2 linked regions of the Drosophila melanogaster genome follow. The protein of the gene in region 2 purifies or fractionates together with the protein of the main gene of each other region. This does not show direct contact. Each region holds a gene or a part of one and is shown on either strand. Other genes may lie near its edges.

Region 1 (7,727 bases), on a different chromosome or scaffold from region 2:
GCGAATTCGCTCTGCCTCCTCCCGCTCCAGGCGCTCCTCCTCCTCCTTTCGCTTTCTTAGCTGCTCCTGCATGGCCGCCACCATGGAGGCAGACATACCCTTCTTCTTGGCGTCCTTCTTCTCCTCCTCAGGCTCGGCCTTTTTGTCTTTCTTGCCCTTCTTCTTGTTTTTGCTGGACTTTTCCTCCTCTTCCTCGGCGGCGGGCTGGACTTCTTCCGTAGCCACAGGCTCGGGTTCTGGCGCAGGTTTCTCCACGGGCTTCGGTTTGGGTTCAGTAGCTGCCTTTTGCTTGGCTAGGGCAGCCTCCCTCTTTTGGCGCTCCTTCTTTTCCTTCTTTTTCTGGGCTGCCGACTTCACAGTGCTGCCGCCCTCCTCGTCATCGCTGGCCTCATCCTCTCCGGCGTTTTCTGCCACTGCAGCCTGCTTGGCCTGCTTCTTGTTCTTTTTTTTCTTGGAGAACTCATCGGCCAATTCTTCGGGGGAAACAACAGTAGTGGCAGCAGGAGCAGCCTCGCCGGCGTATTCCGCTTGAAGCTCAGCTAAAACCTTGTCCAGATCTTCATCGTCGTCGTCCTTCCCCTTGCGTTTGGCCTTTTTGCCCTTCTTTTCGTTCTTCTGTGGCTTGGAGACCACTACCTTTTCCTCCTTCTCAGACTGGCTTTCCTGGGCAGCTGGCTCGTCCTGCTCGTCGTCGTCCATTAGCAGCTCAAAAGCCGACTTCTTAGAAGCTTTGCCCTTGGCGGGCACCACCTCCTCCTCATCGGAGTCGTCATTTTTGCCTGCTTTGCCTTTTCCCTTGACATTAAGCTTCTTGACCCCCTTGGTCACGGCTTTAACATCGTCATCGCCAGCTTGATTGCCCTTCAGGGCATGATTCTGCTTGTTGTTGAGGCTCAACTGGTCGCTGTCCACATCGGAGCTGTAAGATTGAATAATTTGCGATAGAAAGTTTGCCAAGTTGGCAGGTGGGCATGAACTTGCACAAGACTCACATTTCGTCCACCGAGGAACCGCCTTCGACCTTGGTCAGTATCTCTTTCTTGCCCTTTTTAGCTTTAACCATCTTCCCGTTTGCGACTGCAACACGCTCCTCCTCTGGCCGAAAACAAAAAGCCGTGGGTTATTCACCGCTGAAAGATACGCACACGCGACGCCTCGGCAGCCAAGAAAAAGAGGAGGACTGTCCACTGGGTTCTCCTGGTGCTGGTGATCTTCTGATGGTGACTCCGCTTCGGTGGCTCCAGCGACGACGTCCTGCTCCGGAATTGTGCAATCGACGGCTAGATCTGACACGGCGCTTTGCCAATTTTTGGTTTTATTTAGCCGAGGAAATTCTGCACACAAGCACGTTGTCGAGTAGTACGGTGCGGGAGGGTTGGACAGGCAGTGTGACCGTGCGAGTGGATTGCTGAAAATCACAATGGCTGAGCTAAGGTTATCGATTATACCCTGTAATATCCAGTTGAGCGGGGTATTTTTGTTTTGAGTCTATAGTTGTACATAAAGATATATTAAATATATATACACCTTTTTCAATAGAATCGCGGCCTCGGCGCTGGCGTGCGCTGTTTACGGGAACCATTTATCGCCTCTGGTGCTCAGTTTCTTACTCATCAGACATAGGGCAGTTGGTTTTATTGGTTTTCCTAATTGGTAAATTATTTCAACTGCGAAAAGTATTGAACATACTCTTAAATAATATCGATCACTAGGGTATTTATGGAGAAAGAAACCATCTATGGACTTTTTTACACATATACTCGAAAAACTTTCCGGATTGCGGAAAGATATTTGGCATATTTTGGAATTTGATTGCTTATTTCTTAAATGTAAGTGACAGATAACTAACAGGTACTCTTGAAAAAAAGATAAAAGAATAAGAACAAGTTCTTCGTGTGTATTATTTTTGTGAGGAGGTAAATTCCAAAAACAAAAACTTAAATGTGGACTGCCGATATTTTATATACTTTCTTGAGTTCTTTACTTTACATTTTTGTTTCATTTTATTTTTGAGAACTTTTTTTAAATAAGGAAAATATAAATACATAAGCAACTTCCTCACGTTTCATATTCCACCGCTTTAATTTGACACACTTTAAGAAAATACCACAGCCAAGGATATTTTCTACGCCGCTAAGTCCGGTCACACTTAAAAGTTCGCCAAGACGCTTTGTGCTCAAAATTTTGCTCGAGAGTTTTTTCGAATACTATGACTATTTCCCATTGAACTCTTAAAACTCAAAGTGCAGTGCATCTACTAATTCAACAGCGTTAAGAATATTTGTAAGTACGAGTACAAATAGCAAATCCGGCTGTGCATTTGCAAAAAGCCGGTAAGGAACTCACATATTTGGTCCACAGCTTGATAACCAAGGTAAATCCGCGTGATTGGACAATGTCCAGCGAAGCATCCGGAAGTATAACCATCAAAGAAGAAGCATCTACAAGCGGTACGGCCACCAATATTCCCGTTGAATCCAGTGAAACAGAGGTATGAGTTTGTTGTTGTTGCCATCCTTGTTTTGGCGTGGTAGAAGGAGACGAAAGCAGTGCAGGAGTAACTGTTGCTGTCGCTTTTCTTGAGACTTTCGTTTGCTTTTTCTCCATTCAAACTGTTGCTTTTTTGCAGTTATTTTAACAGCCTAGACTAAAAAACAAATCACTATTGAATTCAAGAACCCTAACACAAAGTTTTTAATTTTCCGTTACAAAACATACAGAAAATGTATACAAATGTTAATTTTTTTATTTTATATATGCTCTTATAAATACATTTAAATTTATAAATAAATATTCTCTAAATATTTCAAAAATTGTCCGTAGAAGTAAAACAACAAAATGTTGTTAAATGAAAATTGTAGGATATTTAAGCCTTCGGTGTCATAGAAGGTAACATTGTATGTTCTCAAATGTTTACAATACAGATGGTCCACATTTCCAGGCTAAGAAACCCGAGATCGGAGCTGACAAGGCGGAATCGCAGAGCGAAACCACCGAGGGCGGGAAGGCGGCGGAGACGACGGAGAACCACTTGAAGCGTCTGCAGAATCTGCGCAAGGAATTGAGCTATCTCAGCGAAACCGACTGGATGTACGAGAGTCTCGACAAGAAAGCAGCGCAGTAGGAACGGCAGAGCATTTATCGGCGAAACATTTTCAAAAATGTTCACATACGTTAGCAAGTTTTTCACGAACCCGGATCGTAACCGGGAGGATATTCTGGAAAGTTTGGATCGGGAGAATAGCTTTTTAGACCAAAAACTAATGGAGGAGAAGATGGATCAACAGCTTAAGGCGAATCCAAACGAAATTAATGGGGTTTTAAGTAACAAGATCGCTGAGCTTACGCATGGACTTTCGGAAATGGACGTGAGTAAAGAAAGTTCCTGCACCGCCAGAAAGGGAGTGATCACCAGTCTAGACGGCGATCGGGGAGTCATCGACAAAGACGTTTTATTCGAAACGAAGGTGGCAGAGGATATCATCTTGGATCTACACGTCGGATGTGTAGTGGAATATTTGACTTTTACAACGGGGGAAGCCATGCGGGTGGTCAAGGTGAAGAGTATCCTTGAGCATTCCTGGGAGGACACAAGCCAAAAGGAGGTAAGCTCATCGGTATTAGATTTATTAGCCATTTGTTAAAGCCAATGCTTAATATCTGTAATCCTAACTTCTATTAGATTGAAAAAGCTGTAGACAACCTGAAGAACGAAAAGCCGACATTCTTTAACACCGAAACAAGGAGCGTTTTGGGTCTGATTAGCCAGCGTCTGGCATCTTCCATAGACGTCGAAACGGAATACGGACAGCTGACCGTCGAGCTAGACAATATCGAGATGAACTTCATCCCAACGAATGGAGATCGAGTGCGCCTAGAGTGCAACATTCAGCTGGATGACGGTTTCGTGGACAAACAGGGAGAAATCCTAGAGGTGACAAAGTTGTTTCCCACCCGCATTCAGGAAGGTGAAAAGTGCATTGTGGAGCGCGTGTACGTGCACATGGTTGTGCTGGGTCCGGAAACCTACATTTTAAAGACAGACTTGCCTACAGGCACGGATCTTCATCTGGGCGACATTGTGCTCGCCGATCTCATCGAGTGCCAGTATGTAAGTTAAAGAAGGAACATAAAATCTTGCGATTTTCTTCTTTATACGTGTGTTTTAATTCCCCAGTCCAAATTTACGAGACGCGCCATTAAGATTACTCCGCTGGAGAAAAATTTTGGGGCTACCAAGCTGACTCAGCAGAGCAGTATGGGATCATCCGGCAGTGGAAAAGCAGTGACGGTGACTGGTGTAAATCGTTTCATCACCGCAGAGCTCTGGCAAAAGGAGAGCGTATCTTTAAAGCTGACCAACAATCTAAACCGCACTTTGCGCCTGGAGAGCATCACCGTCTGCAATGACAGTGAGTCTCAGTTGAGCGTGGTCAGCCCTCTCGAATCAAAGGAAATATCCAGCGGCTCCGAAATAACGGTGACCTTTGAGATCCATACGCAGTTCCTGGGGGAAGCAATCGAAAAGTACGTGCTGAATTTCGATCTACTCAAGGTGAGGCGCGTCTTCACGGTGATCGTGTGCAAAACCAAGGAGGAAGTCGCTGAAGCTGAGAAACGTATGATAGCAGCTGAAGCTTTGATGGCACCCGGTCGTAACAGCCAGGAGAGGTCCCGGTTCTATGCCAACCAAGTTTGGTGCAACAAGGTGGATGTAATCCCGGGACAACAAATTGTTACCAAGCGCAGATTTGTTGCTCTGCGTTTGGGTTGCTTTGAAGTAAGGAGTCCTCTCATTAAAAAATATGCTTATTTTTAATACTACCGTTCTTTTAAGGTGCCCAAAGAATTGCGCCAAATTTGTTTGACTAGTGAACGGCGACAAGAGATGATCAAGGCCATCGAGCAGCACTATTCATTCCTCACGGAACCCCTAAGCATTAAAACCTATATGCACCGTTTCAGATTGCTCCTACACCTCGAGGAGATCGAGTGCTTCGTCAACTTTCGCAACTACGACAGAGACCGAGCACACTTTCTGCGTGACGGAGAGTTCCTCACGCTGCAGATCGAGAATCTAGCCGAGCGTCGACCGTCGCTGGTCATTGGCGATACACTGCGAGTCATTAATCCCTGGTCGGATCCCGATTCCCAGACCACCAAGTCATACGAGGGCATTATCCATAAGGTGCTCTTCGATCGCATTTTACTCAAATTCCATTCCAGTTTCCAGGAGAAATATAATGGCGAGGACTATCGACTAGAGTTCTATTTCTCACGCTACAGTTTTCGCAAGCAACACCATGCCATCTCCAAAATTGTAGGAGTAATGGGCGAGGATTTCTTGTTTCCCAGCAAAGTAACCAAGCGCGAGAATCCCCAGCTGGATGTTTATATGAAGGATGACGACATGTACTTGTACGATTCGAAATTAGAGTGGTATAATCAGTCGCTTAATTCCATCCAAAAACGTGCTGTTTTCAATATACTGCGCGGTGAAGCGGAGAACATTCCTTATGTGCTGTTTGGGCCTCCGGGCAGTGGAAAAACAATGACACTTATTGAGACACTACTCCAGTTGGTTAGGAATCTGCCTGGTGCCCGAATCTTGGTGGGAACGCCGTCGAACAGCTCAGCGGATTTGGTGACAAAGAGGCTCATCGATAGCAAAGCTTTGCTCCAGGGAGATTTCATTCGCCTCGTTTCGTACAATCAAGTGGAGAAAGACTTGATTCCTCCGGAAATAATGAGCTACTGCGCCACAAGTGATGTCGGTGCTGTGGGCAGTTGCGAGGACAAAGTGAGTAGAAAAATTTTATCATTTGGATTGGACACCAATTAATCTTGGCTTTGTTGATATTTGCTATAGATGATGGTCACCGAATCGGGATTGAAGCTTCGCTGTCAAGCTAAGTTTATAGGTACTCATCGCATTACCATCTCCACCTGCACTACTTTGGGAAACTTTTTACAATTGGGGTTTCCAGCGGGCCATTTCACTCACGTGCTGTTCGATGAAGCTGGTCAATGCACCGAACCAGAAACAATGGTACCCATTGTAATGCTAACGAAGAAACGCTCTCAAGTTGTTCTCTCAGGTGATCCTCGCCAGCTGCAGTCTATTGTCACCAGTCGAATTGCCTCGAAAATGGGATTTTCCATATCCTTTCTGGAGAGATTGCTGGAACGGTCGCCGTATCGAAAAGATCTTCAGCGATTTCCCGAAAGCTCCGGCTACAATCCACTAGTGCTAACCAAATTGTTGTACAATTACCGAGCATTACCGTCGATTATGAGCATTTATAGCAGGCTATTCTACGATGACGAACTGATCCCAGTTCTTTCCGAAAAGGATTCAAGGGAATCTCGCCTACTAAGTAAACTGCGGTGTGTATTTGAGTCAGAAAAGGATATCCCTCAAGCGCACGGCACGTTCTTTTACGGAATCATTGGCGAAAACAGGCAAAATAACGATTCCCCTTCCTGGTTCAATCCCCAAGAGGTCAGGGAGGTGTTCCTAATGACCATCGCCCTGTACCGTGCCAATGTGACTGCCGATCAGATCGGTATAATCACGCCCTATCAGAAGCAGGTGAAGATGCTTCGGAGTATGTTCATTGGCACCGACGTGGTCATGCCGAAGATTGGATCCGTCGAGGAGTTTCAGGGACAGGTGGGGTCGGAACTAAAATCGATATTACGTGCACACTTAACGTTTGTTATTTCCAGGAACGAGACATTATACTAATATCCACGGTGCGTTCATCAGAAGAGATCCTGCGCATGGATGCCCGCTTCTCCTTGGGATTCGTGCGTTGCAGCAAGCGACTTAACGTGGCCGTTTCCCGAGCACGTGCCATGATGATCATCTTCGGGAATCCCCATCTTCTGGCCGTCGACGAATGCTGGCGCCAGCTAATCCTGTTCTGTGTCAAAAATAACGCCTATTTTGGCTGTGATCTGCCTCAAATGGTGATAAATCAGAAAGATGAGGTCCCCGTTTGCTTGGAAACATTCGTGCCTTCACTGAATACTACAGATGATTTGAACTAAGCACATATGACAGTTTATTATTAAATTAAAACACTTGTTATTGATGAATTAAAGTAACACAATTAATCATTAAACTTGTTTTAAATATTTGTACATATGTGCTAATTTTAGCGAATGGTAACACTCCCAAGCGCAGTCTGGGAACGCTGCTCGTTTGGCTTCGCAGTGTGGTAGCACTGGCCGGAACCGTTGTAGCGCCATGTTTGCGCTCCTTTTGTTTTCTCCTTCATTTGTTTTGCTTTTTTCCGCCGTTAAGTTCTTGCCTTAAAATCGGTGATTTAAGGCATTGCATTCAATTTCGATACAATGGAGCAGAAAGTGGCTGCCGAGCAGAACATCTTCGTCGTCGACCGCAAATTGAAGAAAACTTGCCCGCAAGCAGATGTCGAGGTGAACGGACATGTGCTTAACTTTTGCGAACCCGACTTTATTTCGTTAAATACCAATTTGTAGCGCCTGGCTAAGACGCACTGGCTCACCGACTATGCCCGGGATATATTTTTGACCATGAGGGAGCAAGAACTCAGCCGTCGGCCTTTGTTTTACCTTTCGCCGCAGCTGAACGAGCGCCGAAGAATGCTGCAGTTGCTCAAACTGGCGACCAGCGCCCACAAGCTTAGTCGCTGTGCTTTGCACCTGGGTGAGCACTGTACAGAGGAGCCTCGCTGCAGGCA
Region 2 (4,383 bases):
TTGTAAAAACACATTTACATTCATCAGGGCGGCACAACTGTTCTTTAATCTATTGCGACACTGAACAATCCCAAGCTTTGAATTAGGAACTAGCTGGTAGCCATAGACAGTCGTTTAACTAAACAGGTTTGGAGGAGATCAAAAACTTTCGGGCCAATTAAAAAAAATAGCTTTCTTCGAGAAAATGGCAGATACGAAATCCCAAGCGGAAACATTTATTGAAAACGTCCTGGGCATTGATGATGGAAAAGCAAGCTTAAGTGCGGGCGAACTACCTATGGCCAGGAGTTTTTTCTGTCCGCTCCTGCTGCTTGTTCTTTGGATAGTCTCCTTAAGTACGGATGTGAGTTGCTCTTAGACCAAATCCTCTTACTTTCTTATTTTCCCAGGCATTTTGGGTTGTATATGCGTGTGCTGCAAGTTTGTGAAATCGGAATCATTTACGAGCTACGACTCCGACAGCTTTGAGCTGCAGGAGGTTCATATCGTAGAGCCCAGACTTGGACATGTCAAAGGATGTGCGTGCCTGGAGTGCCTGCATCGCCAATTCGAGCAAAGTAATGGAAAGTAAATTAAGTAGTACCTGACGATTATGTAGCTGCCGTGCATTACTTTTATTGTGGTTTTTAACAACTTAAGGTCTACGTTGCTCTAAATAACAAAAAACGTTAACATTCGTCTGGGCTTACGATATTCATGTTGCTAATATCGAAATAACTAATGATACTGCTCTTCTAGAACTTGGAACTAAATTACCTTCATGTTTGGTATGTTTTTTTTTTTGAGTAAGATATGAAATATGAAATACTGGGGCTTCTTAGTAAGCTCAAGCGAACTTAACATCCGGCTTAGACAATGTCAGAACATCCTCTTGGATGGGAGACAAAGTTAGCTTCAGGTTGTGTTCCTTGGCCAATTTGCAAGTCGCGTCGAACTGAGCGTTCGAATAAGATTTACGTGAAAAGCTCACTTGTTGATCTGAAGTGTTCTTAAACCGCCTAATCAAATCTTCCATTTTGTCATTGAAATCCTGTTCCTTTGCCTCCTTCTCCAGCTGAGCAGGCGTTTTGCGGACGTCTGACTTTGAGTTCTTTAACGAGAAGGCACGTGCCCATATATCGCGACTGGCCTCCTCATACTTGCTGATTCTCTTGTTCATGCTGATAATCTCGTCGCTGATCTCCTTGTTCGCCGGCTGCTTGGCCTGCGCCTGCAGGTAAGCGTTGCGGGCCAAGTTGTACTCGCCCAGAGCGGCCAGGGCGCGTCCCTCCTGGAAGAGCGCCTTGCAAGACGGATTGCCCATGGTCAGGTGCCGTAAGGCCTTCATCATGATGCAGGCGCGCTTCGGCTTGTTCATCTTGTTGTAAACGATCATCAGGTTTTGCTGAGAAAGGAGACAAGGAATCAACTGCCTGGTCGAGAACGCTGCCTCTGCAAGCTATTCTTGTTGGCCACTTACGTTCAGGGTAGTAAGCAGTTCAGTTTGCTTGCGCTCCTCCTCGTCATTGGCCATTCGGCAGTAGTTCAGTGAGCTCACTGCCCGTTCGAAGGCAGTTGCTGCACTCTGATAGCGTCCGAGCTTCACCGAGTCCTTGCCATGTAGGTGCAAGTCGACAGCCTTCGGATAGACCACACAAAACTTGTCGCGGTCTTCTTGGGGGATAGCATCGATGCCCTTCGCATCTCCTATGAGCGAGTAGTCAATTACCTCCACTTTAAAGAGCGCATCCGCCTTGGGCTTGATCCGCGGAGGGCAACCGAGTTCTCCGAAAAGCAGCTTGTAGGAGATTATAAACTCGGCCTGCTCGTAAGGACGCATGCTGCGGACGGCGACCTCCAGGCCTTCAACCACCGTTCCCTGGCCAGTTTCAAACACGAATTTGCTGCCCCGCAGCAGGGAGGAGTCGAAGGGAGCGGTCTCGCCCTCCCAGTAGCCACTGTACCGAACCGAGACCCTAGCCTTGTTCGGCACCGCCTCCCGATCCACGTGACCGGTGCGAGTGATCCGCTTGTAAATGTTTTCGTCGATCTCGCTCATCAGCGCACGCAGTTCGTCGAATGAATATGTCCACGGTGAACGTAGCTCCTCGCCGTCCACGTCCAGCGCATCCTCGTAGTCGCTGTCGCTGTCGCTGTCGAGACCCAGATCCCTGGCATGGTTCTGCTGCGAATTGTCGACCTCGAACTCAACGCCCTTTTTCACGAGATCCCTGCAGAATGAGTTGCACGTGGTCATGAGTGCCTTTAATATGTATCTTATTACTCACGAATAGGACAAGGGATTCTTGAGCAACTGTGGGGTGTACGGTTCGAAGTTTTCTTCCATTATCGCAAAATTTACAGAATATTTACGAAACGAATTCCGGAATGCGCTGAGTTGGCGCTATTCTTTTGGATGCGTTTGAGAAAAGAGCTTTCCAGCGATGGTATCAACTGGAATTCGATTGCTTGATAGCTTTAGCGAATCGATTGGTCGCTGTTGTCCGGAAGTTATCGAATTCAAACAAAGAACTATATATCTTTATTAGGGCGCGAGCACTGCAACTCGAGATATCTTCCGAAAATGTATAATGTATTCCAATCCAGACGGGGAAACACTAGGCCAGATATACTTGCTTTTTATATGAATCTTTATTTAAAACTGAACACTTATCGCTCTCCAACTACGAGCACTCCATTGAGAGAATTGTTTTGGTGTGTGTAACAATAAAAAACTAGGAAACATAATGAGGAATGCATTCTTAATGGCCTTGTGAAGTGCTCACCGTGCGATATGGTATGGCTAAGATTTGTATATTAAGGGAGGGCTATTCTAAGCAATGATCAATACAATAGTATGCGAATGCTCGCTTGTTCACTTCTTCAGAAGCTTGCTCATGTCCTTGTTCTGCTTGTGAATCTTCAAGTCGACATCCTCAATTTTGTAGTTCATGTTATCCAGCAATTCATTTTGCGACTCAATTTCGCCACCCAGATCGGTGGCCAGCATCTTCAGCACCGACAGGTTGCTGCACATCTCCTCCAGATTGGAATCGATCTGGGCCTGGAAGGGATTGGCCGCCTGTCGCTGGGGCTGGTAGGTGCTGCTGGGATCACCACGCAGCTGGCTAACCGGATGATTGTCGTAGCGCTCCGCTGGTGATAGCGGAGCCGAGGGGCTAGCACCGCCACAGGCACCCTGGTTAATGTTGCTATTGGCCTCCTGGGAGGACTGACTGCCCGTGGGCGAACCAGTCGCGGTGGGTGGTTGGTCCCTGTTGCCCGAAAGGTAGTTCTTGAGGCCGCCGAAGACACTCTTCAGACCAGTCAGATGGCGCTGGCTGAAGCGCAGCGTGGAGCTGATCTCGTCCAACTGATGTGATGTCTTCTCCAGTTGCTCCCGCTGCTTGGCCAGCTCCACGGCCGTCGCCTTACCCACCTCCTGGGTTTCGTAGAGCAGACCTGGGGGTTGTAGGAGAGAGACGCATCAATAACGCCCCTTAATTGGCTGGCAATTGACCCCATGTTTACCCAAGCTTTTGTTGGTAGAGTCCAGAGTTCGCTGCTCAATGGCCCTTCGCTTCTCAGCATAGGCCAGTCGCTGTGCGGCCACTGATGGCGACGAGGTTATCTCCTCTTCGTCATCGTCATCCATCTCGAAGGGATTGGTGCTCCTCTGCTGCGGAAGCTTGGCTGCTCCCGTCCGTTTGTTCTGCAGGAATAGGTCGTCGTCCACGTCCTCGAATCTGTCCACGTCATCGAAGTGATCGTGCACTGGCTGCAGGTAGTTATGGGCCATTTCTTGTGGCGAGGGAAACTTCCAAAATGTCGAATTTTGTTATGTTTTCGTAAACTTTTATTTTCTTTGTTGTTGTCTGGAGTTATCGATTGCAATAGCGATGGTACAAATGTAGTATTTGTATGCAGTTCAATCGACTTATAAATAGCTTGACATTGCAGAGGCTTCAATAAAATAAGTTATTATAATTAAAATGATTTTGAAGATACGATAAAAATTGAATTTGTATGTAAGAAAACTTGAAGCTTGATCTAATAAATAAAAAATCGTGTAACGAGCGAATACCGACCGAATCCCCCTACCGATGATCTAGCGGGGAATAAAGCGGCTTGCCATCTCCGATGGATATCGAACCAGCACTTCTGTCAATTTTCCAGCAGGCGTCGCAGTTTCTGTAACTTTTTGGAACTGACCAAGACGGAAGCTTTAGTTTAATTTAAGAAACTGTCGCAGCCGAACGTCACAGGTTTCAGGACACGAATCGGCGGAGCAAAGCACCAAAACATCACCACATGCATAGCACATCGTACTTTGTGGCCGCGACATGCGCGGCGCTGCTTCTGCTGGCGGCGACGGCGCAGTCGACGGCAGCAGCGCAGTCAGGA

The links.
Region 1: the proteins of shu (region 2) and armi purify together in Drosophila melanogaster (affinity purification with western blotting, with the first as the bait; one study listed by BioGRID). This does not show direct contact.

The regions. Positions count from the first base shown.
Region 1 is NT_037436.4:3,459,180-3,466,906, forward strand, and holds armi (armitage), read left to right. Parts: upstream 1-2,137; 5' UTR 2,138-2,283; intron 2,284-2,361; 5' UTR 2,362-2,395; coding exon of another isoform or gene 2,396-2,491; intron 2,492-2,924; exon of another isoform or gene 2,925-2,941; coding exon of another isoform or gene 2,942-3,124; 5' UTR 3,125-3,161; coding exon 3,162-3,605; intron 3,606-3,682; coding exon 3,683-4,111; intron 4,112-4,177; coding exon 4,178-4,780; intron 4,781-4,837; coding exon 4,838-5,800; intron 5,801-5,869; coding exon 5,870-6,673; intron 6,674-6,729; coding exon 6,730-7,053; 3' UTR 7,054-7,135; downstream 7,136-7,727. Other genes in the region: eIF5B (eukaryotic translation initiation factor 5B), read right to left, coding at 1-919, 993-1,063; CG46463 (uncharacterized protein), read left to right, coding at 2,396-2,491, 2,942-3,124; CycJ (cyclin J), read left to right, coding at 7,360-7,443, 7,507-7,693. UniProt on the Drosophila melanogaster protein: Probable RNA helicase required for axial polarization of the oocyte during early and mid oogenesis. Plays a central role in RNA interference (RNAi) process, a process that mediates mRNA destruction of translational repression.
Region 2 is NT_033778.4:23,840,869-23,845,251, forward strand, and holds shu (shutdown), read right to left. Parts: upstream 2,419-4,383; 5' UTR 2,327-2,418; coding exon 2,268-2,326; intron 2,211-2,267; coding exon 1,460-2,210; intron 1,385-1,459; coding exon 827-1,384; 3' UTR 593-826; downstream 1-592. Other genes in the region: CG46398 (uncharacterized protein), read left to right, coding at 185-335, 390-571; Snap29 (Synaptosomal-associated protein 29kDa), read right to left, coding at 2,855-3,441, 3,511-3,778; CG5554 (uncharacterized protein), read left to right, coding at 4,291-4,383. UniProt on the Drosophila melanogaster protein: Co-chaperone required during oogenesis to repress transposable elements and prevent their mobilization, which is essential for the germline integrity.